7 linked regions of the Rattus norvegicus genome follow. The protein of the gene in region 1 purifies or fractionates together with the protein of each later gene. This does not show direct contact. Links are inferred from orthologs where the notes say so. Each region holds a gene or a part of one and is shown on either strand. Other genes may lie near its edges.

What was found.
Region 2: the proteins of Bcl7c (region 1) and Smarcc2 purify together in Homo sapiens (affinity purification with mass spectrometry; 4 studies listed by BioGRID and IntAct, counting the BioPlex papers as one, with this or other methods). This does not show direct contact. The link is inferred for Rattus norvegicus from reciprocal best matches to the Homo sapiens genes BCL7C and SMARCC2.
Region 3: the proteins of Bcl7c (region 1) and Smarcd1 purify together in Homo sapiens (affinity purification with mass spectrometry; 5 studies listed by BioGRID and IntAct, counting the BioPlex papers as one, with this or other methods). This does not show direct contact. The link is inferred for Rattus norvegicus from reciprocal best matches to the Homo sapiens genes BCL7C and SMARCD1.
Region 4: the proteins of Bcl7c (region 1) and Smarcd2 purify together in Homo sapiens (affinity purification with mass spectrometry; 3 studies listed by BioGRID and IntAct, counting the BioPlex papers as one, with this or other methods). This does not show direct contact. The link is inferred for Rattus norvegicus from reciprocal best matches to the Homo sapiens genes BCL7C and SMARCD2.
Region 5: the proteins of Bcl7c (region 1) and Arid1b purify together in Homo sapiens (affinity purification with mass spectrometry; 4 studies listed by BioGRID and IntAct, counting the BioPlex papers as one, with this or other methods). This does not show direct contact. The link is inferred for Rattus norvegicus from reciprocal best matches to the Homo sapiens genes BCL7C and ARID1B.
Region 6: the proteins of Bcl7c (region 1) and Smarce1 purify together in Homo sapiens (affinity purification with mass spectrometry; 5 studies listed by BioGRID and IntAct, counting the BioPlex papers as one, with this or other methods). This does not show direct contact. The link is inferred for Rattus norvegicus from reciprocal best matches to the Homo sapiens genes BCL7C and SMARCE1.
Region 7: the proteins of Bcl7c (region 1) and Actl6a purify together in Homo sapiens (affinity purification with mass spectrometry; 3 studies listed by BioGRID and IntAct, counting the BioPlex papers as one, with this or other methods). This does not show direct contact. The link is inferred for Rattus norvegicus from reciprocal best matches to the Homo sapiens genes BCL7C and ACTL6A.

What each region holds. Positions count from the first base shown.
Region 1 is NC_086019.1:191,751,842-191,756,048, forward strand, and holds the start of Bcl7c (B-cell CLL/lymphoma 7 protein family member C), read right to left. Parts: upstream 2,801-4,207; 5' UTR 2,541-2,800; coding exon 2,449-2,540; intron 1,972-2,448; coding exon 1,893-1,971; intron 1,544-1,892; coding exon 1,435-1,543; intron 1,343-1,434; coding exon of another isoform or gene 1,340-1,342; coding exon 1,178-1,339; intron 1-1,177. UniProt on the Homo sapiens protein: May play an anti-apoptotic role.
Region 2 is NC_086025.1:1,487,003-1,490,502, forward strand, and holds part of Smarcc2 (SWI/SNF related, matrix associated, actin dependent regulator of chromatin, subfamily c, member 2), read left to right. Parts: intron 1-89; coding exon 90-209; intron 210-295; coding exon 296-358; intron 359-740; coding exon 741-999; intron 1,000-1,221; coding exon 1,222-1,383; intron 1,384-1,661; coding exon 1,662-1,726; intron 1,727-2,124; coding exon 2,125-2,260; intron 2,261-2,337; coding exon 2,338-2,504; intron 2,505-3,237; coding exon 3,238-3,372; intron 3,373-3,500. UniProt on the Homo sapiens protein: Involved in transcriptional activation and repression of select genes by chromatin remodeling (alteration of DNA-nucleosome topology).
Region 3 is NC_086025.1:132,707,133-132,711,426, reverse strand, and holds the start of Smarcd1 (SWI/SNF-related matrix-associated actin-dependent regulator of chromatin subfamily D member 1), read right to left. Parts: upstream 2,801-4,294; 5' UTR 2,796-2,800; coding exon 2,619-2,795; intron 2,569-2,618; exon of another isoform or gene 2,394-2,568; intron 1,982-2,393; coding exon 1,794-1,981; intron 1,503-1,793; coding exon 1,460-1,502; intron 1,362-1,459; coding exon 1,239-1,361; intron 804-1,238; coding exon 681-803; intron 1-680. UniProt on the Homo sapiens protein: Involved in transcriptional activation and repression of select genes by chromatin remodeling (alteration of DNA-nucleosome topology).
Region 4 is NC_086028.1:91,699,609-91,703,743, reverse strand, and holds the start of Smarcd2 (SWI/SNF-related matrix-associated actin-dependent regulator of chromatin subfamily D member 2), read left to right. Parts: upstream 1-1,335; 5' UTR 1,336-1,420; coding exon 1,421-1,636; intron 1,637-4,135. UniProt on the Homo sapiens protein: Involved in transcriptional activation and repression of select genes by chromatin remodeling (alteration of DNA-nucleosome topology).
Region 5 is NC_086019.1:47,972,545-47,976,796, reverse strand, and holds the start of Arid1b (AT-rich interactive domain-containing protein 1B), read right to left. Parts: upstream 2,801-4,252; 5' UTR 2,782-2,800; coding exon 1,012-2,781; intron 1-1,011. UniProt on the Homo sapiens protein: Involved in transcriptional activation and repression of select genes by chromatin remodeling (alteration of DNA-nucleosome topology).
Region 6 is NC_086028.1:84,662,674-84,666,173, forward strand, and holds part of Smarce1 (SWI/SNF-related matrix-associated actin-dependent regulator of chromatin subfamily E member 1), read right to left. Parts: intron 3,078-3,500; coding exon 2,946-3,077; intron 2,681-2,945; coding exon 2,509-2,680; intron 1-2,508. UniProt on the Homo sapiens protein: Involved in transcriptional activation and repression of select genes by chromatin remodeling (alteration of DNA-nucleosome topology).
Region 7 is NC_086020.1:117,419,231-117,423,530, forward strand, and holds the start of Actl6a (actin-like protein 6A), read left to right. Parts: upstream 1-1,500; 5' UTR 1,501-1,574; coding exon 1,575-1,599; exon of another isoform or gene 1,600-1,772; intron 1,773-1,930; exon of another isoform or gene 1,931-2,054; intron 2,055-4,231; coding exon 4,232-4,300.

The sequences.
Region 1 (4,207 bases):
AGTTGCTGAGGAAGGAAGACTCAAGTTGGATCTTGTCAGTAGGGAATGAGCCAGGAGGCAAACGGAGGTAGAGTAGAATTTAGGCAGATAGAAATATGTGCTTAGTGACCACAGACTCTCAGTCATCCGCAGAATGGAAATAGTGACAGTAACACCATGAGAGGCTGCTGTGTGGATCAAGTACACGGCACATAGTATGTGCTCAAGAAGTGCCAGCTAGCAGTTTCATTCATTCATTCATTTCTGTGGTACTAGAGATGGGGCTTAGGACCTTAGGCATGACAGACAAGCACCTGCACTGGGCTGCATGCCCTGCCCCATCATTTCATATTAGCGAAAGTATTTGGGACAACCTAGGTGTGGTCCCAAGCCCCATGTCATGGTGTTCTTGACAGGGGAACAATTTCAGTAGCAACAGTTTATAAAGGCCTCTGGTTCAAACGAAGGAATCAAAGGCCACGGGAGCCAACGAAGGACACAAAGCAGGAAAATGGCCGATTGGAATCTGCTCTAAGAAAGCTGTAGCATGTGGAGGCGAGAGCCAGTGCAAGTGAGAAGTGAGAAGGGAGCGCCAAAGGCACGGGAGTCAGCCATGCCTGGGAAGGGGGGGTGGACTACAGGAAGGCCGAGGAGCTGGCGCACTGGCTCTGCAAGTCTGGGCATCTTTCTCTGGATGTTGGGCTCCTCGTGTATAAATAGGAATCATCATAGGATCATTGGTTCCATAAAATGTCAGTGAGGGTTAAATGAGAAAACAAACCACAAAACATTGAAGTGCTCAGAAGAATGACTAACAGATAAGTGGTTCTGTCAGCTGTTAATCTACGGTTACTAATCCCTAGGGTTATCAGAATTATTTAGTTGCCGAACATCTATTATGCGTCCCACATGAACCAGATCAGTGTGTCTGACATGAGATGGTAACAGAGAGGCAATAAGCAAGCAAAAAGTACATTTACATAAAGTTTTCAGATGGCGACACGCTCCCTACAAATCCAAGATGCCAAGGAATGAGCCAGGCACAGCCAGAGGTAATTTCTGCCAGGGTCAGGAAAGGTTCCCTGAGGGAGGCAGGACGGGGGAGGGGGGGGGGGACACAACACAATATAGAAACACATACAAGGCGGTAGGTTCAACTCTGGTGAGGAGAGGACTCCCAAGAGCCACATGGTCCTACCTCTCTCTTGGCCCAGTTGTGGGGGCTGAGTATCTTCTGTAATCACCTCTGGAGGTCCAGTTGGTGATCCAGGGCGACTGGGCTGGGGCGTCCCCCCAGGGCTGGGCTCCGTGCCCTTTTGCAGTGAACCTTCGGAATGGAAACTCTGATTGCTGTTCTCATCTGCTGAAGCAAAAGTCAAGTTAGTTGGCCAGAGGACCCCAGTGGCTTCTTTCAGCACCCAGCCCCCCCACCCCTATTCCAGAATCTCTACATACCATTGAGATCCAGCAGGATGAGGGGGCCACCCCCTCTGGGACTGGTGCCCCTACCACGCCTCTCCCGGCCACGAGATCTCTCTGCCCCTCCTCCTGCCCGCCGCCTCTCCTGAGGGTTAGAGAAGTAAGATCAGAGCTAGTTTGTCCAGGGAGCTCTTACAAAGTCCTTCAATTCAAATAAGGAAACCTAGGCTCAGAGAAGCAAAAGGTGCTGCCTCAGGTTGTGTAGGCCGAGTTAGGTCTTGAACTTGGAGAAAGTGTGTGTGTGTGTGTGTGTGTGTTTGTGTGTGCGCGCGCGCGCGCGCGCGCGCTTCCGTGCTCATGCCCCCTAATAATCGTTACCATCTGCCTGGGCTCCACAGTGGAGTCTCCAAGCCGACTGAAGGTGGAGGCCAAGGGGAGGGAAATTGCTTGAGGTTGCACAGATGCAAGGCATGTTGGGGGTTGGGCTTGCTCACCTCCTCCTGGGGATCCACCACAGGCACCCACTTGAAGATTCGAAGGGAAGTGTCACCCACAGTCACCCAGCGCTTCTCCCTGTGGGAGGTCAGGAGACTGGGTCAGGGAGGCCCAAGGGTGAGCCCCACAGACTGGAGGTCAGGGAGGTGTGCTAGGGTACGGACAGCTTCGTTTACACGGCATAGAAGCAGAAAGAGCCCTCTAAACCCCAGGGCAAAGCATAAACGGATATAACTTGGAGCTGCGGTTTTGCAGACACCTGGGGCACTCAGCAGGGCGCCACCAAGGCCTGCCCAGGCACTCAGGCAATGAAGACCCCGGGCCAAGCTTGCGAGAGTGTCAAAAGCTTCAGGGGGCGGGGCATAGATGAGGGCTCCCGCTCAGGGAAAGCACCACTCCGGACCACGCTTTGTAGACCTCTGGGAATTGCCAAGGAAAGGGGGCGCCCTGTCGATTTAGATCACAGCTGGTGGGCGGGGGCAGCGGGCCAGGAAAGGGCGGACGCGTTTGGAGGAGGTGGCTTGGCTGTATCCCTGACCCGGGGGCAGCGCTCACCATCTCCGGACCTTCTCGATGGTCGCCATCACCTTTTTGATGTCATCTTTGGCCCGGCTCCGGGTCTCGGCCCGCACGGTCCGGCCGGCCATGCTGGCGGGGCTAGGGCCGGGACAGAGCCCGTGGTGGGGCGGCCTGCGGTCCGGCGATCTCAGGCTGCGCGCCAGGCCCCGGCGCCGCTCTTTCGGCCTGCCGTCCCTCCGGGAGTTGGCCGCGCCCTCCCTCGCTCCCCAACGCCTCCGCGCGTCCCCGCCTGGCTTCCTGAGACCGCGCCCCGCCCCGGCCCGTCCCCGGAGCGGCCCGGGCGGCGCGGGCGGCTAGAGCCCCGGCCTGGAAGCCCGGCCAGCTCCGCCCCGGCCCGGGCCCGCCCCTCGGGGCGCACGGACGCACAGCGCCCTCTGCCCGCCGCGGAGAGGGAGAGCTGGGGGGCAGCGGTGCGGCTGGACGCGCGCGGCCCGAACGAGGCGGTGCGTTCCGGCCACGTGGGCACAGGGGTGCGCGAGAGGGACTGTCCTGGTGTGCGTCCGCGGCGGGTGGGCGTCCCTGAAATGCTCTGTGTGCGCGCGTCTGCCCTCTCCAGGCTGTTTGATTCTAAGCTGCCCAACTTAACTTGTTCATTCATTCATTCATTCATTCATTCATTCATTCATTCATTCATACATTCATTCATTCATTCATTCATTCATTGAACAGTTCCATTAACAGCGCCTAGTACAAGCCAGACTCTGCGAGTGGAGAGCCGGCCTCCTCAATCAGAATGGCGGGAGTGAAAAAGACCATGTAGATGAAGTAGCAGAGGAGCAACTTGCCATTCCTTGAATCAGGGTGTGTAATTGGTAGAGATAGTTTGGAAAACTGGCAGTCTTCCATTGAAAAACTTATGCCAACCCCGTCTTCCAACAGTTTCCACTCCCAAACTAGCAACACTCAACAGAAGGAATATGTGCTGCCTCTTTTTTGTCAACTCGTCACAAGCTAGGGTTATCTGGAATGAGGGAACCTTGATGGAGAAAACGCCTCCATCATGTTGCCCTGCAGGTAAGTCTATGGGGCATTTTCTTTTTTTTTTTTTTTTTTTTCTTTTTTTTCTTTTTTTCGGAGCTGGGGACTGAACCCAGGGCCTTGCGCTCGCTAGGCAAGCGCTCTACCACTGAGCTAAATCCCCAACCCCGGGCATTTTCTTGATAATAGTTGTTGTGGGAGAGCCAGACCACTGTAGGCAGTGCCACCTCCGGGCACTTTAAGAAAGCAGACTGAACAAGCCTTGGGGAGCAAGTGAGTAAGCAAAGTTCGTCCAAGGTTTTGCTTCAGTTCTGGCCTCCTTCAGTTCCTGCTTTAAGTTCCTGCCCTGACTTCATAACAGACTATAACTGCAAGCTGAAATAGATGCGGTGTTTATCACAGCAATAGAAACCTCACTAGGACGAAATGTGTCTGTATGAACACCAAGATATGTATACTGGGAAGTTCGGTACTCTTCATAATAGCACCAACCTGGGAGCCACTCAACAGAATGGAATGGAAAACCAGTTACAACCTGTTTATACCATGAGCACAGACAAAACAACCAGAAAAACCAAAGTCCTGCTATGTGCAATGGTGGGGATGGGTCTGCAACAAAAGAAGCCAGATGTGACAACATGCATTAGATAATTCTACATCTAAGTTCAGAACACAAGTACATTCATGGTGTTTTCCGGGAGCTTGTCACACTTGTCTTTAGTCTGTCAAGATGGACATTTATTACTTGTAATTTTTC
Region 2 (3,500 bases), on another chromosome or scaffold:
TCTCTCTCTCTCTCTCTCTCTCTCTCTCTCCTGACTCTGGCTCCCTGTGACCACTTGCATTCACCTCCTTTTTTTCCTTCCACAAATAGCAGGGCTCTGCTTCCCAGCAGATGCTGAACTTCCCTGATAAGGGCAAGGAGAAGCCAGCAGACATGCAGAACTTTGGGCTGCGCACAGACATGTACACCAAGAAGAACATCCCCTCCAAGGTACAGGGTGCAGCCAACCTGGGGTTGATAGCTTTCTCTCACACAGCTTAGACTCCTCTGTGCTGACTTACTCTGCTTCCCCACAGAGCAAAGCTGCAGCTAGTGCCACTCGGGAATGGACAGAGCAGGAGACATTGCTGCTCTTGGAGGTAATTGGGGAAAGCAAGGGGAATGCTGTAAGGACGCAGGGGCTGGGACCCAGCTGCCATGGCAGTGGGGAGCACTTAGTTGGGAGCACTCATAGTTTGGCACTGAGTGGAACATGAGCTTGCCTCAGTCTCCCCTTCTTGGTGCCTGTCATAGCTGCCCCAGGAATAGCTCCAGGTCAGGGATTTAGGCCTGTCTGTAATTCCATATCCTTTCTTTGTGCTACTTGGAGACCCCCCACCCCCACCCCCTGGATCCAGCAGAGTACAGAAATACCAGAACATAAAGAGCTTTGAAAACAACTGCCCTTAGTCGGATGGAGGGAGTTGACCTTCTAGAAAAGTGGCTAAGTAAGCGGAGTTCTGTCTCCACCACTACCACCAGGCTCTGGAAATGTACAAGGACGACTGGAACAAAGTGTCTGAGCATGTGGGAAGCCGCACGCAGGATGAGTGCATCTTGCATTTCCTTCGCCTTCCCATTGAAGACCCATACCTGGAGGACTCAGAGGCCTCTCTAGGCCCTCTGGCCTACCAGCCCATCCCCTTCAGTCAGTCAGGCAACCCTGTTATGAGCACTGTTGCCTTCCTGGCCTCTGTCGTCGATCCCCGAGTTGCCTCTGCTGCTGCAAAGTCAGCCCTAGGTAATTTGGGGATGGGGGGTTGGCCTTCTTCCTTTGCTTTTACAGCTAGATACTCCGATTAAAACCTCTCAGCTCTACCCTGCTGGCTTCGTCTGAGGCTGCCTTAGCTCAGGCACCTTCTGAGCTTGATTTTGGTCTCAGAGAAAGAGATGGGCTTATGAGAAAGGTCAGTCAGAACAGCCTACCTGCCTCATCCCAGCCTCTTCCCCTCTGGTCTCACAGAAGAGTTCTCAAAAATGAAGGAAGAGGTGCCCACAGCCTTGGTGGAAGCCCATGTGCGCAAGGTAGAAGAAGCAGCCAAAGTCACAGGCAAGGCAGACCCAGCTTTCGGTCTGGAGAGTAGCGGCATTGCAGGGACGGCCTCTGACGAGCCTGAGCGCATTGGTGAGCACGCACTCTTAGATTTCTTCCCATCTCCAAGAGCAGAGTCAGCCGGCCTCGCTGCTCGCTGTACCCTCCCCACCCTGTTCCTGCCCACGTCTACATCAGTCACCGCACAAGTGGGAGAGAAAGCCCGTGGCGTTTTGTTTTCCTTCATGGTATCACTGTGGGAAAGTTGACTTTTCCTGTCTCTGTCACCGAGGTTTCAGCTACTGGGAAATTGTTACATAAACGAAAATTATCACACATCTCTCCTTTCTTTCCTTCCTCCATGGGCCCAGAGGAAAGCGGGACTGAGGAGGCACGGGCGGAGAGCCAGGCAGCGGATGAGAAGAAGGAGCCAAAGGTATAGAGGGAGTGACCTGGGGCTGAAGAGGCAATCCCAGTGGGGCTGGATCCAGTGACAGATTGTCCTGGAGCTAGGGCACCCTGTGTAAGGGCTGAAGAGATGGGTCACAGCACTGGATAAGTGTTGTTCTACAGCCTGAAAATTGACCCAGAACCCCTAGGACCCACACAGAAGCTTTGGCATCATTTTATGTGCTGCGACCTCATCGTTGTGGGACCCAGTTGTTGGAGGCTGACCTGTCTCAAGGCAATAAAATACCCAACATTTTGTTCTGCTCTGGCTTTGGCATGTGCACACACAGAGACAGATAAGGACAAGAGGGCCAGTCAGCCTCCAGTCTGGGCCTCCTGTGAGAGCTGCATCCTCTGATGTCTTCTTTCCTTTTGGAACTGCAGGAACCTCGGGAAGGAGGAGGTGCTGTAGAGGAAGAAGCAAAGGAGGAAATAAGTGAAGCTCCCAAGAAAGATGAAGAGAAAGGGAAAGAAGCGGACAGTGAGAAGGAGTCAGAGAAGAGTGACGGGGACCCAATAGGTGAGCGGCCTCCCCAGAGGGCGAGGGGCACAGGAGAGACAAGGGAAAAGGGTAATTTCACCTTTGTCCTGACACAGTCGATCCAGAGAAAGACAAGGAGCCGACGGAAGGGCAGGAGGAAGGGCTGAAGGAAGTTGCAGAGCCAGAGGGGGAGAGGAAAGCCAAGGTGGAGCGCGACATTGGTGAAGGCAACCTGTCCACAGCTGCGGCCGCTGCCCTGGCTGCTGCTGCAGTCAAGGCCAAGGTGAGCGCAGCCCTCGGAAGCTGCACACTTTCCTCATCCTGTGCCAGCCATTCTCTTCTCACTCCTTAAATAGTGCTGGCCTGTTCGTTCCTTTCTTATTTTTTTTTAAAGATTTATTCATTTATTATATATGAGTACAGTGTAGCTGTCTTCAGACACACCAGAAGAGGGCATCAGATCCCATTACAGATGGTTGTGAGCCACCATGTGGTTGCTGGGAACTGAACTCAGGACCTCTGGAAGAGCAGTCAGTGCCCTTAACCACTGAGCCATCTTTCCAGCCCGTTCCTTTCTTATTTAATCCAGTGAGCTATCACCAAACTTCTTAACTCTCTTAGTAGCTATTTCCAACCCTTTAATTTCTTTTACTTGTCTTATCTCTTTTTTCATGATAAAGATACAATATATATATATATATACATATATGTGTGTATGTATGTGTTGTTTCATAATACAGATATATCTAGATCGTGAATATATTATATACTTATATATTATAATATATACTATATAATGTATAATATTTATTACTGTGTATTATAATATATAGTACATGTATAAATTACAGTTATACTATTCTTAGTTGTGATTGCAGCTACTTCCTTTTTGAACCTGCCAGCCTCTGCAGCATCTGCCCTGCCCCTTCCTTCCCCACCTTCCCGGAGTTTCTGCAGCTGGGCGCTCTGGCTAATGCCCGCCCGACTGACTGAGACGACCGCTACTTCTTACATAGCACTTGGCAGCTGTCGAGGAGAGGAAGATCAAGTCTTTGGTGGCTCTGTTGGTGGAGACCCAGATGAAGAAACTAGAGATCAAACTCCGACATTTTGAGGAACTGGAGACGATAATGGACCGGGAGCGAGAAGCGGTGAGTGACACGCAGTCAGGTGTCAACAGGAGCCTAGAACCTGCCAGAAGATGAGCTCAGAAGTGCTGAGTCAGACACAGGTGGCACAGCCGGGAGAAAGGCAGGCAGCCCAGAGGTTGAGATCCATA
Region 3 (4,294 bases), on another chromosome or scaffold:
AGGAAAGCCTGACAGCAGAGGGCAAATGAATCCCAGGCCAGAGGCAGGGGAACAAAACCTGCCTTTCTCTGGACAGAACACATGACCAGCAAATAGCCTGGACCTACCCAGAGGCAGCTCGGTTCCCCAGCAAAAGTGCATCAGACGAGCTCACTTGCACACAGTTTAAAAGTGTCAGAGTGCAGAGCTCTGAGGGAACGGCGAGCCTCCCCAATGAGCTGCTGGGTGGAGAGTCTGGGGTGCTCATTAGTCTGATGAGCAACAAAGAGCCAAGCCTTTGGGGGGGCTATCGTACTTAAACTGTGGTGCCTCCAATGAAACCTGGGAAGACAGAAATAACCTCAAGGACCTAAGGGAGGAAACATGGGCTCAAACACTAAGCACAGATGGTGGTGGGGATAAGTGAGCACTGAAATCCGAAGGGCAGCATCACCAGGCAAAGTAAACAACAACCCAGACCCCAGAGCAACAAAGGTTTCCACTTGATACCAGAGAAGCTGTGAGAGTAGGCACAAAGGACCATTGTCTTTGTAGGCAGGGAACACAGCACCCCCAACCCCCTTCCGGAAGCTCCCAGCAGGAGTGGTGAACACCAGTCAGGTTTCCTGCTGACCACACAGCACTGCTCCTTCCCAACAGCTCCCACCCTGAGCACCAACCACCATGGACCCTGAACTCACATCCTCCAGGAGCCGTCCTTCTACCCGGAGCTCCCAGGAAGCCACAGTCCCTTCCCCGTCCTCGGCATCCGACTTAGCCGGATTGAATGTGTTAGAAATGAAAATCCGCAGCTTCCGTTTTTGCTGAGGAAGGCAGAAACAGGATTGACCGTGGGGCTTCAAGAGCACAAGGTTCCCTAAAGCTCCCAGGTCACTCCTACCAGGCTGGCTTTGTAGATGGATAAGGACTCCACTGAGGAGCAAACAGGCCCTGACTTGGGCCTGAGTAAATGTGCCAGGGTGCCAGGGAGACAAAGTCGTGCAAAGTGGCAGGTTCCCAAGGTAGCGAGGAGCAAAAACAAGGACAGGGTGTGTTTCTGCTGAAGAGAGTGGGAAGCCCCCCCTCTCCTTGCCAGCCGCCCCACTCCTATGCTCCTGATGTAATTCCTGGTTTGCAGGCAGAAGGGAAAGATGCAGTTTAAATGCCAAAGAGAGATGTGCTGTGCCTTTGGGTTTTCTTCCTAAGCTTGGTGGAGCGTCCTGGCTCCCTCCTGTGACCCTCTGGTACTCTCCTGGTACCTTGATGGGCCGCTTCAAGGCCTCCTGGATATCCAGGCGTTTCCTCATAATAGTCTGGTCCAGTTTCCTTTCAAAAGCCAGGAGATCCATGTAGGCCTGTGATTCCGGTACCAATTCCCGAATCTTAGGAACAGAAAGATAGGGTCAGGCCCTAGAGCTGACCACCTCTATTCTCAAAGCCACTACCCCTTCAGGAAGGCCTCTACAGCTGCTGCACTCACCCTCTGAGGTAGGATTTTGTCAGCCATCTTCTTTTTCTTTGCACTGTTCAGAATAAATACTGTTATCAGGTTGGGATAGGAACTAGTCAAAACATGAGCATCGCTGTGAGCACCTCCATTTATGGTACAGCTACTACGGCCTACGGGATGACTCTCCATCTCCCAGTACCACAAAAACTCCACTTCATCACGAGGCCAGAGAGCCTTCAAAAGGGTGAGTCCCTGCAGCACCATTTGATACTGCAGCGCCTGACTTCCTGGGGACTCCCAGCATCAGCATCCTCACAGGCCTCCTCCCATCCCCGTCTTTCCTTCACCCCAGGGGGCATCTTACTTGTGATTTCGATTTTGGACCGCCTGCTGCTGGACCTGCTGGATCTGTTGAGGTGCAGGTCTCTTGCGGGATTGGTCCATCCCTGACTGGGCCAGGCCAGGTCGGACTGAAGGGTTCCCCCCATAGCCAGGAGGTCCCATGGAAGGTCCCTGAGGTGTCATTCGGCTGCCTGGCAGCATACCTGGTCTCTACAGAAGGGAGAGGACCAAGAGATGTCATATTTTTCCATGCTAGCCCCACCAAGGAAGGAAAAGTGGTGGAAGGCTGGATTTCAGGGATGGGGTAGGGCTGGGGGGTGGGTAGAGTGGAGGACAAGACAATCCTTTGCTTCTTTGAAATATGGTAACTGGAGCTTCTTCAGGCCTACTAGTGATTTAATGGAATATAGTCTAAAAACTAGATTATACTTGAATTTTCTGATCTATGCTGGATCTGACTCATCAGACATTTCTAGTCCTACTTTTTTCTTTTTTTAAACTAGCTGCTGTCTCCTCTAAGGCTGACCTCAATTTGCTGCAATAGCTTGGGTGTTCCTGGAGACACTGGGGCTGCCCATTCCCCTCTGCATCCCATGCCCATCCCAGGGCCCACTTCACCCACCCTGGTTCCACACTCGCTCCTCACACGGAAACAATGCCGCTGGGAGCAGGTAAGGATGCTAACCTCCTTCCCCCCACTCTTCCTCCGCTCAGTTTCCCCCACCTCCACTCCCGGCCCGAGCCCCTCCCTAGGGAGTCCCTCCCACTTCTCCCTCACCCCTGTCAGTCCTCCGCCCTCGCTCGGCCCCGCCCCCGGCCCGCGCGCCCCTCCTCCTGTCCCACTCACCGGATAGGCCGCCCCGGGCATCGGAGAGCGGTACAGCCCTTGACCCGGCGCCGGGCCCATTCGCACGGGAGGCCCGGGAGTTCCGCCCGGGCCCAGAGCAGCCGCCACGCCCGCTCCTCCTGAGGCTCCCGCGCCGCCGCTCGGAGCCACGGACTGGAAACCCGCCCGGGCCGCCATCTTCCCGGAGCCGCCGCTGCAGCTGCACAAAGAACCGGAACCGGAACTCCCCCCGCCCCCCGCGCGCCCCCCGAGCGCCTGGGCTGTTTGTGGGCCCGGCCCGCCGGCGGGCACGGGCGGCTCGGGGCAGCGAGACTACGGGCTAGAGGGGGCGACTAGCGGGAAAGGCGTGCTGACCACTCCCTCCCGCCTTCACGGGCCAGGAGGGAGCACCATAGAGAGGCGGTGTGCTGATAAAGAAGTGCCGGGAGCGAGCGCCCCCGGGCGGTTGGAGGACGTCAAGGCCTTGCAAAGAGCCCAGCCCACCCCGCAGGCGGCTGGAGTGATGCTTCACCTCGGCCCAGTGCGTTTACCTCTCCAAAGCATTCTGGTTGGTTTGCTTTTTGTTTTCCTACGGATCAGACTCCGGATGCTAAAGAGGGAAACAGGCTGTTTGTTCGTTTTACAAACGGAAAAGCTGAACTCAAAGGAGGTGAATGTCGTGGCAAAGACAAATCGAGATAAGAGAAAAGCCATCCTGGATTCGGGTCTCCTGGCTGGTAGCCAGGGCCTCATCTTATAAATAATGGCTTAAGGGGTTGGGGATTTAGCTCAGTGGTAGAGCGCTTGCCTAGGAAGCGCAAGGCCCTGGGTTCGGTCCCCAGCTCCAAAAAAAAAAAAAAAAAATAAATAAATAAATAAATAAATAAATAAATAATGGCTTAACAGCTCCCCGGCACGGGAACTTAGCCCTTCACCTCAGACCTTTAACTTCAGATTTTAATGAATTCTTTTACCTTGAATCTTCTCCAAAGAGACCCGGATATCTGTTGCTTTAGATTACTTTGCTGGTCCACTGCCTAGGGAACAGAGGATTCCTGAATTTGTTCTTTTCCAGGTGGATCAGTGTTTTTACCTGATCAAGTATGTAGGGTCTCGAATAGCCTGGTCTAGCGTTAAACTCACTGTGTGATGGAAAACAGCTGCTCCATCTCCTATGCGCTGGAATTAGAGGTGGAACCACCACACCAGACTACCACCCAAATTTCTTTAGTTGTGTGGCCCTCAAGGCAAGCTCCGATCTAAAGGTTAACACCCAGAGTGCAGGGTGCTGGCAGCTCATACCTTTAATCCTAGCGTTTGGGAGGTAGGAGGATCTCTGTGAGTTCGAGGCCAGCCTGGTTTACAGAGCTGTTCCAGGACAGCCGAGGCTACACAGAGAAACCCTGTCTCAACACAAAACAAACAACAAACAGAAAACCAACACTGAAGAGATGGTTGAAACCCAGTTTATTAGACCAGAGGCATGCGTCACCCAGAGCCCCTTCTGCTGCCCCCCAGTCAGTGTCCATTTCCCTGCTTTGCCCTGCTTCCTTCTGGGGGAGTTCTGTTCTCTAAACAACTCTTGGGAACCAAAAGGTTTCAAAGATTCTATAGCCTCACTCTCTGGCTCCAGGCCAACCCACACAGGTGATCTGCCCATAAGTCCTGTTTTGGAATTAGAGACCAAGAGACAGTGG
Region 4 (4,135 bases), on another chromosome or scaffold:
GTAGAATCGGCTGGAGGTGTAGCTGAGAACGACCCTGAACTTCTGGCCCACCTGCCTCCTCCTGTGTGCTGGGATTTTTGGCGTGTACCACCAGACAGTTTATGCAGTCTGGGGTTCAAGCCCGGGGTTTTGTGTATGCTAGGCAAGCACTCTATAACCTGAGCTACATCCCCCAACCCGATTCTGAGGATTTTCAGTGCCTAGTGAAGTTAAGTAGCACTGATTGTATACCGTGAGTGAGGAGGTACCACATTAGCAGAGGGGTAGGTCTATAACATAGCTGAAGCCAGGAGTTTCTGAAAAGGTTCTCAACTTTTCAAAAACTAGGTCCTATACAAACTGGATAAAACTTATTTCACTACCTGGAGTTCTCTCAGCATGCGAAATCCCTTCACCTAAAAACATTTTCTGCGGAGTAAATTACCAGGCTTCCTTAAAGGCACAGAAAAGTTAGTGCGGTAAGTACTCTGAGCTGGACCAAGTCAAGCTTTAACCCAGCTAGGTCATATCTGGGGTCGCCCATGTCCTTGGAAGCGCTCAGCAATCAATATGGGTGGGTGGGTGTGGGGTCCTGGAAGGTGAACGCCTTGTACTACTGGCCTGGCTCCTCAGGCCCTGAGATAGGCTCTTAAAAAGTTTTTGGCGGCCATTCCGCCGCGGATCGCTTATTTTTTTTTTTTTTTTTTTTGGTTCTTTTTTTCGGAGCTGGGGACCGAACCCAGGGCCTTGCGCTTCCTAGGTAAGCGCTCTACCACTGAGCTAAATCCCCAGCCCCGGATCGCTTATTTTTAAGGCCTGGAGACGCGGAATTGACTGTTTTGGAGGGCTATGTCGGACATTTCGCTGAGACAGTAGTCCTCCGGAGTAAGCGGCAAACACCTAACCATGGTGACGGCCCTACGTGACCTTCGAACTCTGACCCCGCGCCTCTCTCAGCGCTTCCGCGTGCAGCTTCCGCTCCCGCTCCTCCGGGAAAAGGCGGTCCCAGAGGGCGGGGCTCTGAGGCCGTCAGTTATGGGCGGTGCTTGTTTGAGGCGGGTCTCGCGAGGGCGGGATTTAAAGACGCACTCTCGATTGGGCTGCCGGGCAGGGGCGGGGCCTGCCGAGGCCTGGGTTGGGCGGGGCTGGGAGTTCGTAACCGCCTCTGGGTAACTGGACTCCCGCGATCAAACCTCCGGAGGCCGGGAGAGGCCTGCGGGCTTGCAGCACATCCTGGATCTGGAGTATCCCTGGCAGGAGCGGAGTCAGAGGGGCTGCGGATCCTAAAGCTGGGCTGGGAAGAACTTGCGAACTTGGAATAGAAGATCCCGGAACCCGGTAATAAAATCGGAAAGTCCCGGATCGCGGAACAGAGCTCGCGGAGCGGACTCAACACGGAGACGAGAGGCCGGATCGCTGCACCGCGGGACGGGACAGAGTGATGTCGGGCCGTGGCGCGGGCGGGTTCCCGCTGCCCCCGCTGAGCCCCGGCGGCGGCGCCGTTGCCGCGGCCCTCGGTGCGCCGCCTCCGCCTGCGGGACCCGGAATGCTGCCCAACCCGGCGCTCAGGGGCCCGGGGCCTTCTGGAGGCATGGGGGTACCGGGGGCCGCTGCCTTCCGCCCCATGGGCCCCGCGGGCCCCGCGGCGCAGTACCAGGTGAGGAAGGCAGGCGGGCGGCGCCTCGAGGGCGCTGGGTTGGTCTCCCAGGGGCCTCAGGTGAGGACGGGCCGCCCAGGGGACACTGCAGGAGGAACTGTCGAGGGCTGGTGGCAGGCAGGCCAGAGTCCTTTGGTTAGTGGCTAGGGGTTGGAGGCAATGTTGGGGAAAGGGTGAAAGCCCTTTGCGGTGGAGGACTTAAGCAGTTAGAAGAGTCCCGGGAGTTCTTGGCATTGAGTAACTTAGAGATGGAGGCTTCGTGGGATTTAGAGAATTGTGGGCAATCAGGTTGAAAAGTGTAAGGCAGGTCCCGGAGTAGAGGTGAGGGAGTGACCCGGGATGTGGTGAGGAAATTTTGGAAGAGGGTCGTTAGTGAGAAAACAGGGCTACTCTTTCTTTGGAGTCGGTCCCACTGCATCTCTGCCTTGGCTGTTTTGTTTTTTGTTTTTTTTCCTAGTTGGGAACTGGCAGAGAGTTAGTATATCTGTGATGGCTCCCAGCTGCTCAAGTTGAAGCCTGGCTTCCTACGAAATGGGAGACCAAAGGGAGGGAGCCCAGATACTCCCAGGATAGATTAGAGATAGCGATGGCCAGGTCTGAAGAAAGCCCGATCGCATTAACAGACCCATCTAGATATCCTCTGTACTGGGCATTCTTCCTGATGTCAGTGTCCAGTAGTTAAGTTTGGAGGAGCAGGGAGGCTTTGTGGAGTCCTGCTGGTCTTGGGTTGCATAGGGTACTTCAAGACCCTTCTGTCTGGGAAGAGAGCAGTCTCAGGTTGCTGCGTCAAAGGTCGTTGACAAGCAGAGACAAGATCCTGTGGTCAGTGCACTGGGAACTCACCCAGCGGGACTCTGTATGTGGGGCTCCTCCTCATACCCCAGGGCTCTGGTTCAAGTTGCTCCGGGATATTTGGGAGTTTCATTTTGCTTTTCCTTTCGGTGCTGAGCCTGCACCGGGTGGAACCCCGGGCAGGCTTTGCACGAGGCAGATCATTGCTATCAGTGAACTGCACCTTTCCCAGAGTGCCTGGGACTGTGTCCATCCTTTCCCACATCCTTGTCACTTTTGGTCCTTGCTTTTTGATACAGGGTCCCATATAGTCTAGGCTGTGTAGCCAAAGCTGGCCTTGAACTCTTTCTGCCTCTCAAGTGCTGGGACTGCAGTCACGAAGGTCCGAAGGTGTAGCTTACTCTGTCCTCTGCTGGTGTCTCAGGTAGACGTCTCAGAAATAGATCTTCATGGAGCATGCATATTATACCCAGGAGTCAGATTCCTGAGGAGATACCTAACTGAGGGTTGGGATAAGTGACCCACTTCGCTTCTCTTTCTATCTCAAAAGAAAATGACGAGTTTGGGTATGAACAGGGATAGACTTGGTCCCAAGGATACTCTCTGGGGTTTATCTTTCCCATGTTGCTTTCTTTGGAGATTAATGGACCTTGTGTCTCACCGATGAGTACTGACATCAGTTATTCCAGCCCTTGGTCTTGCTTGCTTAGAACTGATCTGGTAGCTTCCTACAGACACTGGGGATATCTGGTTTGGTTAGTTTTCTGAGCCCTGGCTGTCCTGCAACTAATTATGTAGACCAGTCCCCTTGGCATGCAGCTGACAGAGAAGTACCCTTGGGAAAGTTCCTGTGAAGACGGGAAGATGGATTCCTGCATGCTTTGTAGAGAGTGACCTTGGGCCTATGCTGAGGCCAGGCTGGCCAGCTGGATAGCTGTGGCTACTAGTTGTGAGAAAGGAGATGGCCTTGAGTCTGGCATCTTGTTACCTCTTCCTCCTCCTCTTTGTCTTCCTCCCCTCCTCCTCTTCCTCCTCTGAAGGACAGGGAAAGGAGGAAGGAGAACCCCATTAACATGGGTTGAGTTTGAAGGAGACCCTGCTTGCTTTTTCCCATCCCTTCCAGGTGTCCATCTTCCAGAAAGGCTTGGGGTCTGAGGACAAAGGGGCTCCTCCTGGTTAGAGCTCTTGGGGGTGAGCAGGAAGGGCAAGGATGTGTGTGCTCAGGCTGGGCATGGGAAGGCTGCTGACATAAATTGATAGCTCATTTACCTCTAGAGGGTTTTTCTAGTTTTGGAGAACAATCAGCCTGAAGGGTTTAAAGTACCACGATCAAAACCAAAACAGAAAGCCTAGTGTGCATTATTGCCGGCTTCACTCAGCTCAGAGTTTAAAGTACCCTCTGTTCATAGGGCCAGGGTCTGGCCTCCAAATGAGGCTCTGAGGTTCAAGCAGCTCTTAGCAGGATCCCGGCTACAGACTTTTCTGGAGAGCAGAACATGCTTACTTGAGCCCTAGATTCTTAGCCCAGAGCTGGCAGGATGAGGTCTAGCCTACTTCCCTTATCTTCTTGGTGGTTATAAAATTTAGCCTAGAGGGTGGGCTTGGTGCTTGACCAAGTGGAAGTTACTGCATTCCGGAGTCCTGGGGACTTAAGCAGGCCTCGTACTCTGTGGTGGGGCAGGCTGGCCGAGAGGCTGAGACTCTGTT
Region 5 (4,252 bases), about 140 Mb from region 1:
GTGAGAGGGGAGCCAATCAGATGGCAGATTAGATGTCAACTCAGAGGCAGCTGTCTGGAGACTATTACAGCCAGTTTACCTCCACAATTCAAATTCCAAACCTTGCAAAGGAGAGATCAAGTCAGTCTTTAGGCTCAGCCTACTAGCAAGAAACAGCCAGAGCAAAAGGCACTTCCTAACAACGCTGTAGGACTTGGGCAACAGCAAAATCAAGAAAATCCACACAAATACGATCCAGAACGATCCATTTTCACTGGCCTACTACCTAGTTACGAGGTTTGCTGAATAAAAAAAAAAAAAAGAAAGAAAGAAAGAAAGAAAGAAAGAAAGAAAGAAAGGAAGGAAGGAAGGAAGGAAGGAAGGAAGGAAGGAAAAGTCTAACCCATGATCAAAATAAGTTCCATCGATCCGGAATCTATTCCTTCAACATCGCCTCCCGGTTGAAGGTGACTCCTTCCAAGGAGCCCTTAGCCCCATAATGGATCTCTCCCTGGCTATTCTTAGGAAACGAATCGATGTTATTTTACAATTTTTCGCCGCCTCCTCGTTGTAAATCTGGGTCTTATTCCTGCTGGTAAACATCCAAACTCCACCAGCCACGGCTGTCACAAAGCTAACCTCGTTTTCCCCCCCGCCCCTGCCTCGCAAGGGGAATGGGAAACCGACCGGGGCCCGGAGAAAGTTCCTCTCTCCCCGCGCCCACTCGGGGCACACCGTGGGCGCCGGCGGAGCCAGGCCCGGCCCTGGGGCCCGCTACCCCGAGAGCCCTCCCCGGGCGGGCGCGGCCTGGGGCACCGAGGTCCCGTCCCGGGCCTGGCGCGGGCACGCAGCACGCCGAGAGGGCGCGGGGCAGCCCGGCTACCCGGCCCCGCCAGCTCCGGCACCGGCCCGGCGGCGCCGCGCCCCCGCCACCCCCGCCAACCGCCGGGAAAAGTACCCGGCGAAGAAAGAAAGTCGGGCTCGCGGCGCGAGGCCCGGGCGGAAGCAGGCCCGGCCGGGCGCGGGGGTTACCTGGGATCTGCCCATGGTCGGTCCAGGGGTGCCGGGGCTCATCGCCGGGTGATTCCTTTGTTGCGCGGCCGCCCAGGCCGGGCTGGCAGCGGCGTACTGGGCGCCTAGGTCCTTGCCCAAGCCCATGCCCGCGGCCGCCTGCTGGCCACCCGCCGCCGCCCCCGCCGCCGCCGCCGCCTGGGACTGGGGCTGCGACGGCGGCGGCGGCGCGCTGGAGCTGCTGTAGTCGGGGTAGCTACCGCCGTAGCTCCGCATCATGGGGCTGGGCGAGGTGAGCAGCTGGTTGAGGGTCGGCGTGGCCCCCGACGGGTGCTGGTTCTGGCCGGCGAAGCGCTGGAAGCCCCCCGCCGCCGCCGCCGCACCGGCGGCCGCCTTGCTGAGGCTCGCGGCCCCGCCGCCCCCGGGGCCCATCATCATGCCGCCGCCCTGCTGCCGCGGGGAGCTCAGCACCCCGTACCCCGAGGACGAGCCCCCATAGCCGCCGCCACCGCCTCCTCCTGCTGCTGCTGCTGCCGCCGCCGCGGCCGCCGCCGCCACAGCTCCGGCTCCTGCTGCCGCTGCCGCTGCCGCTGCTCCTCCTGCTCCTCCTGCTCCTCCTCCTCCTCCACCTCCTCCGCTGCCTCCTCCTCCTCCTCCTCCGCCGCCGCCGCCGCCCGCGCCGGGCCGGCTGTAGCCCGGATAATGGTTGTACTGGCTGTTGGGGTACCCTTCGTGGGAGTTCTGCAGGGGGTCCATGCTGCTGGGGGCCCCGGCGGCGGCAGAGGCGGAGTGCATCATCCCCATCCCGGGGCTTTGTTGTCCGCCATGTTGATCAAAGCAAGGCCCAGCGCGGCCGCCGGGGCCGCCGCTAGCAGAGGCAGCGCTGCCATAGTAATTATTAAACTCCGAGACGGCCGCCGGGCCGCCGCCGCCGCCCCCGGGCACGGCGACCGGCGCGGGCTGTTGCTGCGCGCCCAGGCCTGGGTGCTCATAGCGGCTGCCCGCCGGCTCCCCCATCTTGGGCGGCGCGTCGTCCTCGTCGCCCGGCTTGCTCAGCAGAGGCTGGCCCTGCGGGTCAGCCTGACTGCCCGCGGCACTGTCCTTGGCGCCTCCATGTTGCGGCTGCTCCATGTCCGGGCCGGGCTGAGGCGCGCCGCCGCCCGCACCGCCCAGGCTGTTGTTGGCAGTGGGATGCTGCTGCTGCTGCGGCGGCGGCGGCGGCGGCTGCTGCTGTGGCTGCGGCGGCTGCTGGAACTGGTTTAGCTGCTGCTGTAGTGCGTGGTGGTGGTGGTGGAGGTGGTGGGCATGGTGGTGATGGTGGTGGTGGGCATGGTGGTGGTGGTGCTGCTGATGGGGCGGTGCAGCGGGGGCCTCGCCAACGGCTTTCAGTTTGTGGTTGGGGAGCAGCCCGGTCTCCATGGCCGAGCCGGGGCCCGCCGAGGAGGAAGAGGCCGCGACGGCGGCGGAGGAGGACAGCGCGGCGGCGCTTCCACCCTCCTTGAGAGCCGCCTCGGAGCCGCCGCTCTGCGCGCTGTTGGAGCTGGCGGCCGCCGCGGCGCTCGCGCTATGGGCCATGTTCAGGTCGTGACGGGGGTGCAGGGGGTGGTGGTGCACATTATTCAGGCCGCCGTCGCCGCCCCCCAGTATGGGGCCCGGAGCCGCCGCCGCCACCGCGCCGCGCGCGCCCGTCTCCAGGTCCCGGGCCCCGGGCGCCGGCCGCGGCCCCGAGGGCGCCCGCCTCTCGCAGCTGCCCGCCCGTGCCCGCGCCGCCGCTGCTGACCGCGCGGCCATGATCGCCGCGGCGTGGCGCGGCCGGGTGGGGTGGGGGGAGACAATGTCCCCACTCGCAGCCGGCCGCCCCTCCTGCGCGCATCCACGCGGCCCGCGGGGAAGCGCGGCGCCCTCCCCCCCCGCAGCCCCGGGCCGCCCGCCGGGGGCGCGCCTTTGCGCTCGGGGGCTCGCGCCCGCTACCGCCTGGACCGGCGGAAAGTTTTTTAGTTCCGCTTGCAATGAAACTTTTCTCTCTCCCTCTCTCACACACTCTCTCTCTCTCGCTCGCTCTTTTTTTCCCCTCTCTAGCCCGGATATGGGGGGGAAATGCACGACTTGCCTGAGCCTAATCGGGCCCAGCGCGGCGTGAGGGAGCCGAGCGAGCCGGAGCAACTATTATCCGCTTCTCTCCGAGGGCTGCTGCGCACTTGCAAAACGCGGACTGGACTCGGCCCCCGGCGCCGCCGCCGAGCGCACGCTCGCCCGCCAGCTCGCCCCGCTCGCTCCGCACTGCCTCGCCCGGCCTGGCGCGGGGGACCCGGCCTGGGGGAGCGGAAGGGGGGGACCGGCTGCCGGCGCTCGGGGCCTGAAGCTGTTCAGTCCCCTCGTGCCTCCGGTCTCCCTGCCAACCCGCGGCCCTGTGTTTGTTTTCACGTCTAAAGGGAGCGCTACGAAGGTGGAAAACGAGTCTGACGAGCAGACAAAAGAGAGAGAAGGGGCTGGGAAGCAAAGTTGTCTATTGGGCCTCAGAGGTGGTGAGGAGCCGATGGAGAAGGGAAACATTTAGGCAGGCCGGGCAAAAGCACTCAGTCTCTCTCAGGAGTTATGTAATTTTTCACAACCTTGGCCTCTGCGCCTGGATTTCAGGCCATCGGCGTAATTCCCACAACTTCATCCAACTGAGAAATTAGGAAAGACTTAAGTGAAGGTTAAGCCGCAAAGACTGCTGTGCCATGTACACAGCAGGCGCTCAATAATTGCTTATGATTCACCACCCTAATCCCCAAGGTGATGTTTATATAACTCTTTTTAAAGGCACCGTAAGTAGGTATGAAAACTCCTAGCATTCCCCACGGAGTATTTTTCTTATAATGCGTTTGGGTGTCCTCTCCAGTGTTAGCTCCAGACAGCATTCAGGAGACGTTTAACTATTAGTGCAAAAACAGCGACGGCTAAGGTTTATCTTGGGTCTTCATAAATCTACACGACGCCTTTCATCATATTTCAGAGGTTAATGTGTGCAATTAACCCTCTTGATATGAGTTCATTTCTAAGTAATGGGAAACAAAACCAAATAGATGTATTTAATAAACATAAAATCAATAATAATGCAAACAGCCTAATCCCAAAGCAGAAATATGCAGTAGTTGCCCATTTTAAAAAAGGTGCCCATAGTTTTAGCAGGATAGTGTTTTACACGATATTATCATGGAGTAACCAACCTCTTGACTGCCAAACTTCTTAACCTAAGCAACGGCTCCGTTGTGCTAGG
Region 6 (3,500 bases), on another chromosome or scaffold:
TTACCCAGCATGCTGGGTGTGTGGATGAGCACCCTCTTTAATGGAAGTGGCTATCTTGGACCCCTTGCAGCTTCAGTTAAAGTTAAATGCCTTTACTTGGCCACTAAGGGCCAGAAGAGTAATCTGTCCATCTGTACATAGAACGCTAACTCAGAAGCCTGGCTGTCTGTGTGTAATGTGTACTCATGAGTGATGTTATGGGTGGCATTCTCATACTCATACTGGATTTTAAAATAATAAGGCTTTTATAATACACTCATTAAATTTTGCTCTAAGAGCGCTTAGTTTAATTTGCTCCTAAGAACAAATTTAGGTAATTGATAAATTGGATAAGCCGATTAGGAGCATGAACAGCTCTTCTGGAGGACCACAGTTCAGTTCCCAGCACCCGCGTCAGGCAGTTCCCAACTCCCTGTAAGTCCAGCTGCAGAGAATGGCACCCACTCCTGGCATCTGCAGGCACTACACTCACGTGTACAAAACTACAGGCTTGCTACACACATTTAAAAAAAAGAAGACTGGGTGTAACTGTAAGGCATTTAACTTTTTAGAAAAGAACCTGGGTGTGGTGGCACACACCTTTAATCCCCATGCTTGAGGCAGAAGAAGGAAGATCTTTGTGAGTTTTAAGGCCAACTTGAAATGCATAGCAAGTTCTAGGACAGCTAGTGCTATGTGGATACCATGTCTAAAAAAAAATACCAACAAACAAAAAAGGAAGTTAAAAGGAAAGGGGAAAAAAAACCCAAAAAACCAAACACACACAAAGGGAAATCATATATTTTTTTTTTGGTTCTTTTTTTCGGAGCTGGGGACTGAACCCAGGGTCTTGTGCTTCCTAGGCAAGCGCTCTACCACTGAGCTAAATCCCCAACCCCCCGAAAATCATATATTTTATCAGGTTAGAGTGTGTTACAATTTGTATAAGCTTGCCCCAGGGAGTGGCACTATTAGAAGGTGTGGCCTTGTTGGGGTAGGTGTGTCACTGGATATGGGTTTTAAGACCCACATCCTATCTGCATGGACGCAGTATTCTGCTAGCAGCCTTCAGAAGATGTAGAACTCTCATCTCAGCTTCTCCTGTACTATGCCTGCCTGGAAGCTGACATATTCTCTCCTTGATAATAATGGACTGAATCTCTGAACCTGTAGGCCAGCTCCAATTGAATGCTGTCTTTCTAAGAATTGCCTCGGTCATGGTGTCTGTTCACAGCAGTAAACCCTAACTAAGACAGACATTGGTACTGGGAGTGGGGTGCTGCTGTGACAGGCCTGATCATGATTTTTATTTAGATGAATGTGGACTTTGGGACTTTGGATCTGGAAAGCACTGGAACGCTTTAAGTGGGGCTTAATGAGGCACCTAGTAGGAATATGGAAGACACTGGTGCTGAGTTGGATTTGAACTTACAGACCTGGCCCAAGAGGGTTCAGTGGAAAAGAATTTCAATATGAGGCCTAGAGACTATTTTTGTGGTATTTTGGTGAAGAATGCGGCTTGGCTGCCTTTTGCCCTTGTCTGAAGTCTGCCGGAGTCTAAGGTAAAGAGAAATTAATTACATGACAAAGGAAGTCTCAAAAAAGCCCAATAGAGACTTTGTTCTCAGGTTACGTCTCATGAAGAGGGTTTTGAACAAGTGTAGCGAGCTTAGAGAGGAAAAATATAAAATACATGGTTCAAGTATTAAAGGGGCACCGGGAAGTGACATGGAGCTGAATCCCGTCTTAGGAGGTAACAGATTAAGGATTTGGTATCATCCCATCCAGCTAAGTTTAGATCCAGGCATGGTGGTTTACACCTTTAATCTCAGAAGACAAAGCCAAACAGATCTCTGAGTTCAAGGCTAGCCTGGGACAAAGCAGGTTCTAGGTGAAGAAAAGCTTAGATCCAGGCATGCTGGCACAGGCCTTTAATCCCATCCAGCATTACAGGAGACAGAGCCCTGCAGATGTCTGCCTTCGAGGTCAATCTACAGAGCAAGCCAGTAAGCAGCACTCCTCCATGGCCTCTGCATCAGCTCCTGCTTCCAAGTTCCTGCCCTCTGTGAGTTCCAGCCCTGACTTCCTTTGGTGATGAACAGCAATGTGGAAGTGTAAGCTGAATAAACCCTTTCCTCCCCAACTTGCTTTTTGGTCATGATGTTTGTGTATGAATAGAAACCCTGACTAAGGCAAGGAGTGTCAGCAAAAACTTAACCCAGAATTTGGAAGCTGAGATTGGAGAATCAGGTAAATCTGGACAACACAGTGAGACCCTGTCTTGAAAAAAATCAAACAAATCCTTTATTCTAAGTATAAAGACTTTGAAAAGTAAAAGTACAGCTTTTTTTCCCTTAACAACTTTCCACTCTGTAAGGAGTATTTTTTACCATGGGAAAGTCATACACAAAAATCTTATTATTGAAAAGACAAAATTATGCTTTCCCATTTAAAAAAATAAAAGCCTTGAACTAAGATTTCTTCCCTAATTCAGAGAGAGCACACGCAACGCCCCACTTTCCACCTTACCGTCTGGGTCCTCCGCAGGCTGAATGCTCATGTAAGGCTCTCCTTTCTCCATGCGCGACTGTCTCTGTCGACTTTCTTCCTCTAATGCAGCTTCCGCACGACTTTTTGCATTAATATATGCAAGGTATGCAGGGGAATTGTGATAGGCCTTCATAGATTCATTGTACTCTATCTGAAATTCAAAGGGTTGGTTTTTAATGTACATTCCACTCTCCAGGTCACCGTGGGCAGCTGCATTGTTCATCTGAATCAGAGGGCAAAGGTGAACAGACGGGGGGGGGGGGGGGGGGGCCCTCTGTGACAGTCATCTCTCCTTCTGAACAGAGAATGTGCCACTCAGGTGAGTGGGGCTTGGTGGACAAAACTTTAGTGCTGCCTCAGGTGTCTGGTCATGCTTTGCTTCTTCTATAAATAATGAGTGAAGGTGGTCCTCCTACCTTTTCTGCTTCGTACTCGTTTAAATATTCTTGTTTCTCTTCATCAGTGAGATCTCGCCACATGCCACCAATAATCTTGCCAATCTCCCACAACTTTAGGTCAGGGTTGGAAGCCTTTACTTGGTCCCAGACCTTAAAAAGTTAATAGTTGAAAATTCAGTATTAGTGACTAAAGTATATAGTCATTTAAAAATACTCTAATATGGGAACGTTTAAATACAAACAAAAGCAAAGACGACAATATCAAACTCATCTGTAGCCATCAGTCTGCTTCAAAACTGCCAACTTATGATGTCATTTTATCTTTACCTCACTGGATCTCATCACCACTGTCATTTCCTCATCAGTACTTCAAACTGATTAAGCTAAGAACACCATTAACCACTGTTCACACTTATATTGAATTAACTGAACAATTAACTCTATGTCTCTAGCTGTTAAGTGAATTTAGACGTAGTTAATTTGTACCATACTATCAAACACATATGTAATAATTATGATCAATATTTTTACTATACTTATTAATTATTTTGTATTCTTGGAATTGAACCTAAG
Region 7 (4,300 bases), on another chromosome or scaffold:
TACAGCTCAACCAGGCACATAGCTTCAGTCACAGTGGCAAATAAGCCTGGCTATGCTCCAATAAAGCAGCTTAATGTTTCTGACACGGGAGTATCATAGCATTCTTAAAAACATCTTTGAATCATTCAAAATGTACTAATACCCAAGGTGGCACGTGCCTATAACTCCAGTACTCAGGAGGCAGAGGCAGGAGGATTACAGCTTGGAGACTAGCCTGGCCTATACCATGAGACCTTGTCTCAAAAAACCCAAACCTGAACCATCATTGTGAGCTCAAAGCACAGTGTCAAGTGAACAGGAAAGCGGTTTCTTACTTGCATTATTCCTGACCCTATGACAGGTCAATTTCTGCCACCTGGATGGCATGGAAATGGATGAAATTTTATTCAACCCTTCTAAGGTTGCTAGTAACGCTTGCACTAGACACTTCAATTTAAGCACTGCTACCAGTTACAGAGAGAGCTACATTATACTTGAGTTTTGGACCTTTTGTTATGTAGATCAAGCTAACTAAAGCCCAGAGAAGCAGAGGGACAAATTGTTGCACTTATTGTTTTGGGGACAGTGTTCTGGACACTGATAGAAACATAGTCTAAGAACAGTAGACACAGATTGGGGATATATTTACAAACGGGTGTTTCTCTGAATGGTGCTCCACTTGCTTGGTGAATGATTTTCACAGAAATGAAAGAAACCAAAGTAATGATTTTTAAATGCTATCTGAATCTAGCTGGGAAAACATATGATCTCTTATTATAATAGCCATTTTAAAAAATGATGAATCCGATTATTATATCTGATTTGCCGATTACTTCAAAGTGTAGTACACATTTCTTTTTCAAGTATAAATGTTAGTTGAAGTTTTTTCTGCTTAAAAAAAAAATCCAAATCCATCACAATCCCAGACCAGGAATCTCTTCGAGGTAACTAACTCAAATTCCAGATTCCTTGCAGATACTCTCCTTTCTCTGCCTAAGTTCCCATGGCTCCTGGGGAGCGGCCACACTTCAGAAGCAAGAGCGGTTGATGGCCCAAGGCAAGCCCCTTCCCAGTACCTAATTAACTCACTTTAGAAACCCGGTCCACTCCCGCACAAAGCTCCTCCCACTCGCCCGCCCACCTAAAAACTCCTCCCACTCCATTTGCGCGCGAAGCACAGTTCGCACCCTCTTGCGAAGCAGCCCCTCCCACAATCCCGTCTGCGTGTAGAAGCCCCACCCACTTCTCACCCGCCCGCGAAGCTCCGCCCCCTCCTGCCCGTTCCCCAACACCTTCCCTTCTTCCGTCGCTTCTCCCCATGGCTGCCTTCCATTGGTCAAGACGGCTAAACCGCGCAGGGATACAGCAGCACCACATTCTGATTGGCTAAAGACTAAGCCGGGCCTCTTGTCATTGGCTGACAAGAGAAACCAGCAAGAGTGGCTGTGCAGCGGGCGTGCGGCCGCTGCTTTGTTGCCGGAGGGGGCGGCGTTGGAAGTTGCAGGCTTACGGGGTCGGCATTCTTGGGGAGTCGAGTCGCGCCGCTGTTATCTTTCGCCCAGTAGTCTTCGGCCAGTCCCCGCCCAACAGTAGCTATGAGCGGCGGCGTGTACGGCGGAGGTGAGTGAGCGCAGAGGCGCCTCGGGGCGTGCGGGCCGGAACGACCGGCCCGGTCCCTGGTCTCTTCCGTTTCCCTCCGGTCCTCGGCGGGCCCTTCCGGTCTTTGGCCGGTGCTTCCGGTCCCCGTTTGGGCCATGGCCTCTCCTTCTCTTCGGACCCAGGGCCCGCGCTCAGTAGGTTTCCGGCTTGTACTGTTGCTGGTTCCGAGATGGCCTCAAGGAAGGGCCTTGGCGTGTCTTACACCTGGAGCTCCAGGACGGGCTGGACTCTGTTGGCAGTCACCTGGCACTCCGGGTCCCTCGCTGTACCGGTTCCGCCGCGGGTTAGTCTCGGGAAGCTCGCGGAGGTTCCGGGCCCTCCGGGTGGGCACTGGTTCTGAGTCGCGCCCGGTGTTGCGGCTTCCGACTGGACATCGTTCCAGGTGTGCCTGGTCCCTAGATGAGCGGAGCGTTGAGGTACAGGCTGCTGTTCCCCTGGCCAACTGGCCAGGAGTCTTTTTATAAATTGGCGATAACGAAATCAAGGCTTTCAAGCACTGGTTTTGTTTTATTTTAAAAGTAGTTAACTAGTTAGAGACTCCTCGCTAGGGTGGATGCCGACAGGAGATGGTGCTGCTATCCTGCACGTTAACGAAGAAGAAAGCATTGGGAAGAGTTAAACAACCAGCTCAAAGTTAAAAGACTTTCTTTGCAAATTGGGAGCAAATAGCTTCTGGATTGAGGCAAAGGCATTCCTTTCTCGGCCGTGTACCTGTAACATGCACCCCTAATGAGTTAAATAGTATACTCACACTATAAATTTATAAATGTATCGAGTCAGTAGATCTGTGCCCACACATTTTAACTGCTGTGTACTGTTTTGTAAGAACGAACTGTAGCAGTTTCTCTAACTGTAGTCATTTCCCTAGCAAGAAGTGTGACAAGAGTAACTACTACTATTAGCTAATATTTATCGGGCTTATTGCTTACCAGCACTATTTTAAGTATACATTAAAACATTGAAGACATTTAGTCATAGTATCCAATGAGATAAGTATTAAATACTCTTTACTGACCAAACTGGGGCAAAGAGGTTAGTAAATTACACATTTCACATAGTGTATTTGTCCCTTGTCTGTTGCCGTGATTAAAAAACAAAACAAAAATGACCAAGGCAACTTCTAGAAGGAAGAGTTTACTTTAGCTTATGATTCCAGAGGGATAAGAGTCCAGTATGAGGGAGGCATGGCATCTAGCAGCAGGCATGGTGGCAGGAGCAGGAGTCTAGGCTCACATATCCAACCTCAAGCATGAAGCTGAGAGCAAACTGAAAATGGTGGGGGCTTTAAACTCAAAGCCTGTCCCCAGTGACAGCTTCCTACATCAGGCCCTCATCTTCTAAATATCCACAGATTGCACTAAACTGGGGCCCAGATGTTTAGATATCAGAGTCTAGGAGACATTTTCATTCAAACAGTTGCACATGCATCTCCTTTTAAAATATGAATTTCTCTTAAACTGGGTATGTCTAAACTAAATAGCTCTGTGTTTCTCTTTGGGTGCCTCTTTGTAGCTAGCACTAAACTGCATAGAGTGGCTGTGGTGATTTGTAGCTTTAACTGGAGAATAGAACTTTTCTTAAGGTTGAGTAATGTAGGTAAGTAGGATTAGTGTTTTAAATTTTTTGGGAGGGGACCCATTGACAAACTAGCACTTTATCCTAGGAGGCCTGCTGTTTGGGGTGAAGTACTTGGAAAATATAAATGGAGGCTTTTCTCTGAATTAGACTGAAAAAAATTGCCAGCTTTTTTTCTCATCACTAAACTATCCCCTAATGTCTGGAATGTGTGAGTTAAATAGTACCTTCATTAAATGCTTTTTACTTGGCCTGTATAAATTACATTCTAAGCTCTGATGTCCCAGTTTGGATGCTGGCTTATAGTTTCCTGAAGGCTGGAGGCTGTGAGCTTGGTCCTTCCTCCCTGATAGGCAGTTCTAGCTCTCTGCCTCATTTCAGCTGTTACCACAGCTCCCAACAGCCATCCCCACAAAAATCCTAGGTTCTGTTAGCAGTTTCTTGTTTTCTCAGTTCAAGGATTATGAGGACATGTCCCTTTGTTCATCCTTCTGTACCTGGATGATAGATGTTTATAACTAGTCCCTTTAGTAAGGAACTACTACCTGCTGTCAGTGTACCATATCTTTCCTGACTAAACCTCCGCTGATGAACAGTGTATGACTCACCATATTTTAATTAAATAAATCTTGAAGGTATATTTAATACTAGGTTCAAGCCAGACATTGTGGTGCATACTTTTAATCCCACTTAAGAGTCAGAGACAGGAACTTTGCGACAAGTAAGATCACATAGAGGTTGATTATATCAAAACAACAATCGTAAAAACTAGATTCTAGCTAATTATGTGTTATGTAATGGAGTTTTACAAAGTTTTAAATATTCTCATTTTATATACATAAAATATGTTCTTTACTTTGTTGAGACAAGAGTTTCTCTGTGTAGTTCCAGAATTAGCTCTGTAGACCAGTCTGGCCTGGAACTCATAGATCTGTCTGCCTCTGCCTCCCTTACTGGGATTAAAGACATCTGTAGTTCTCTTTTAATCACTTCTGTAATTCTCTTTTAATCTCTTCAGATGAAGTTGGCGCTCTTGTTTTTGACATTGGATCATATACAGTGAGGGCTGGCTATGCTGGTGAGGACT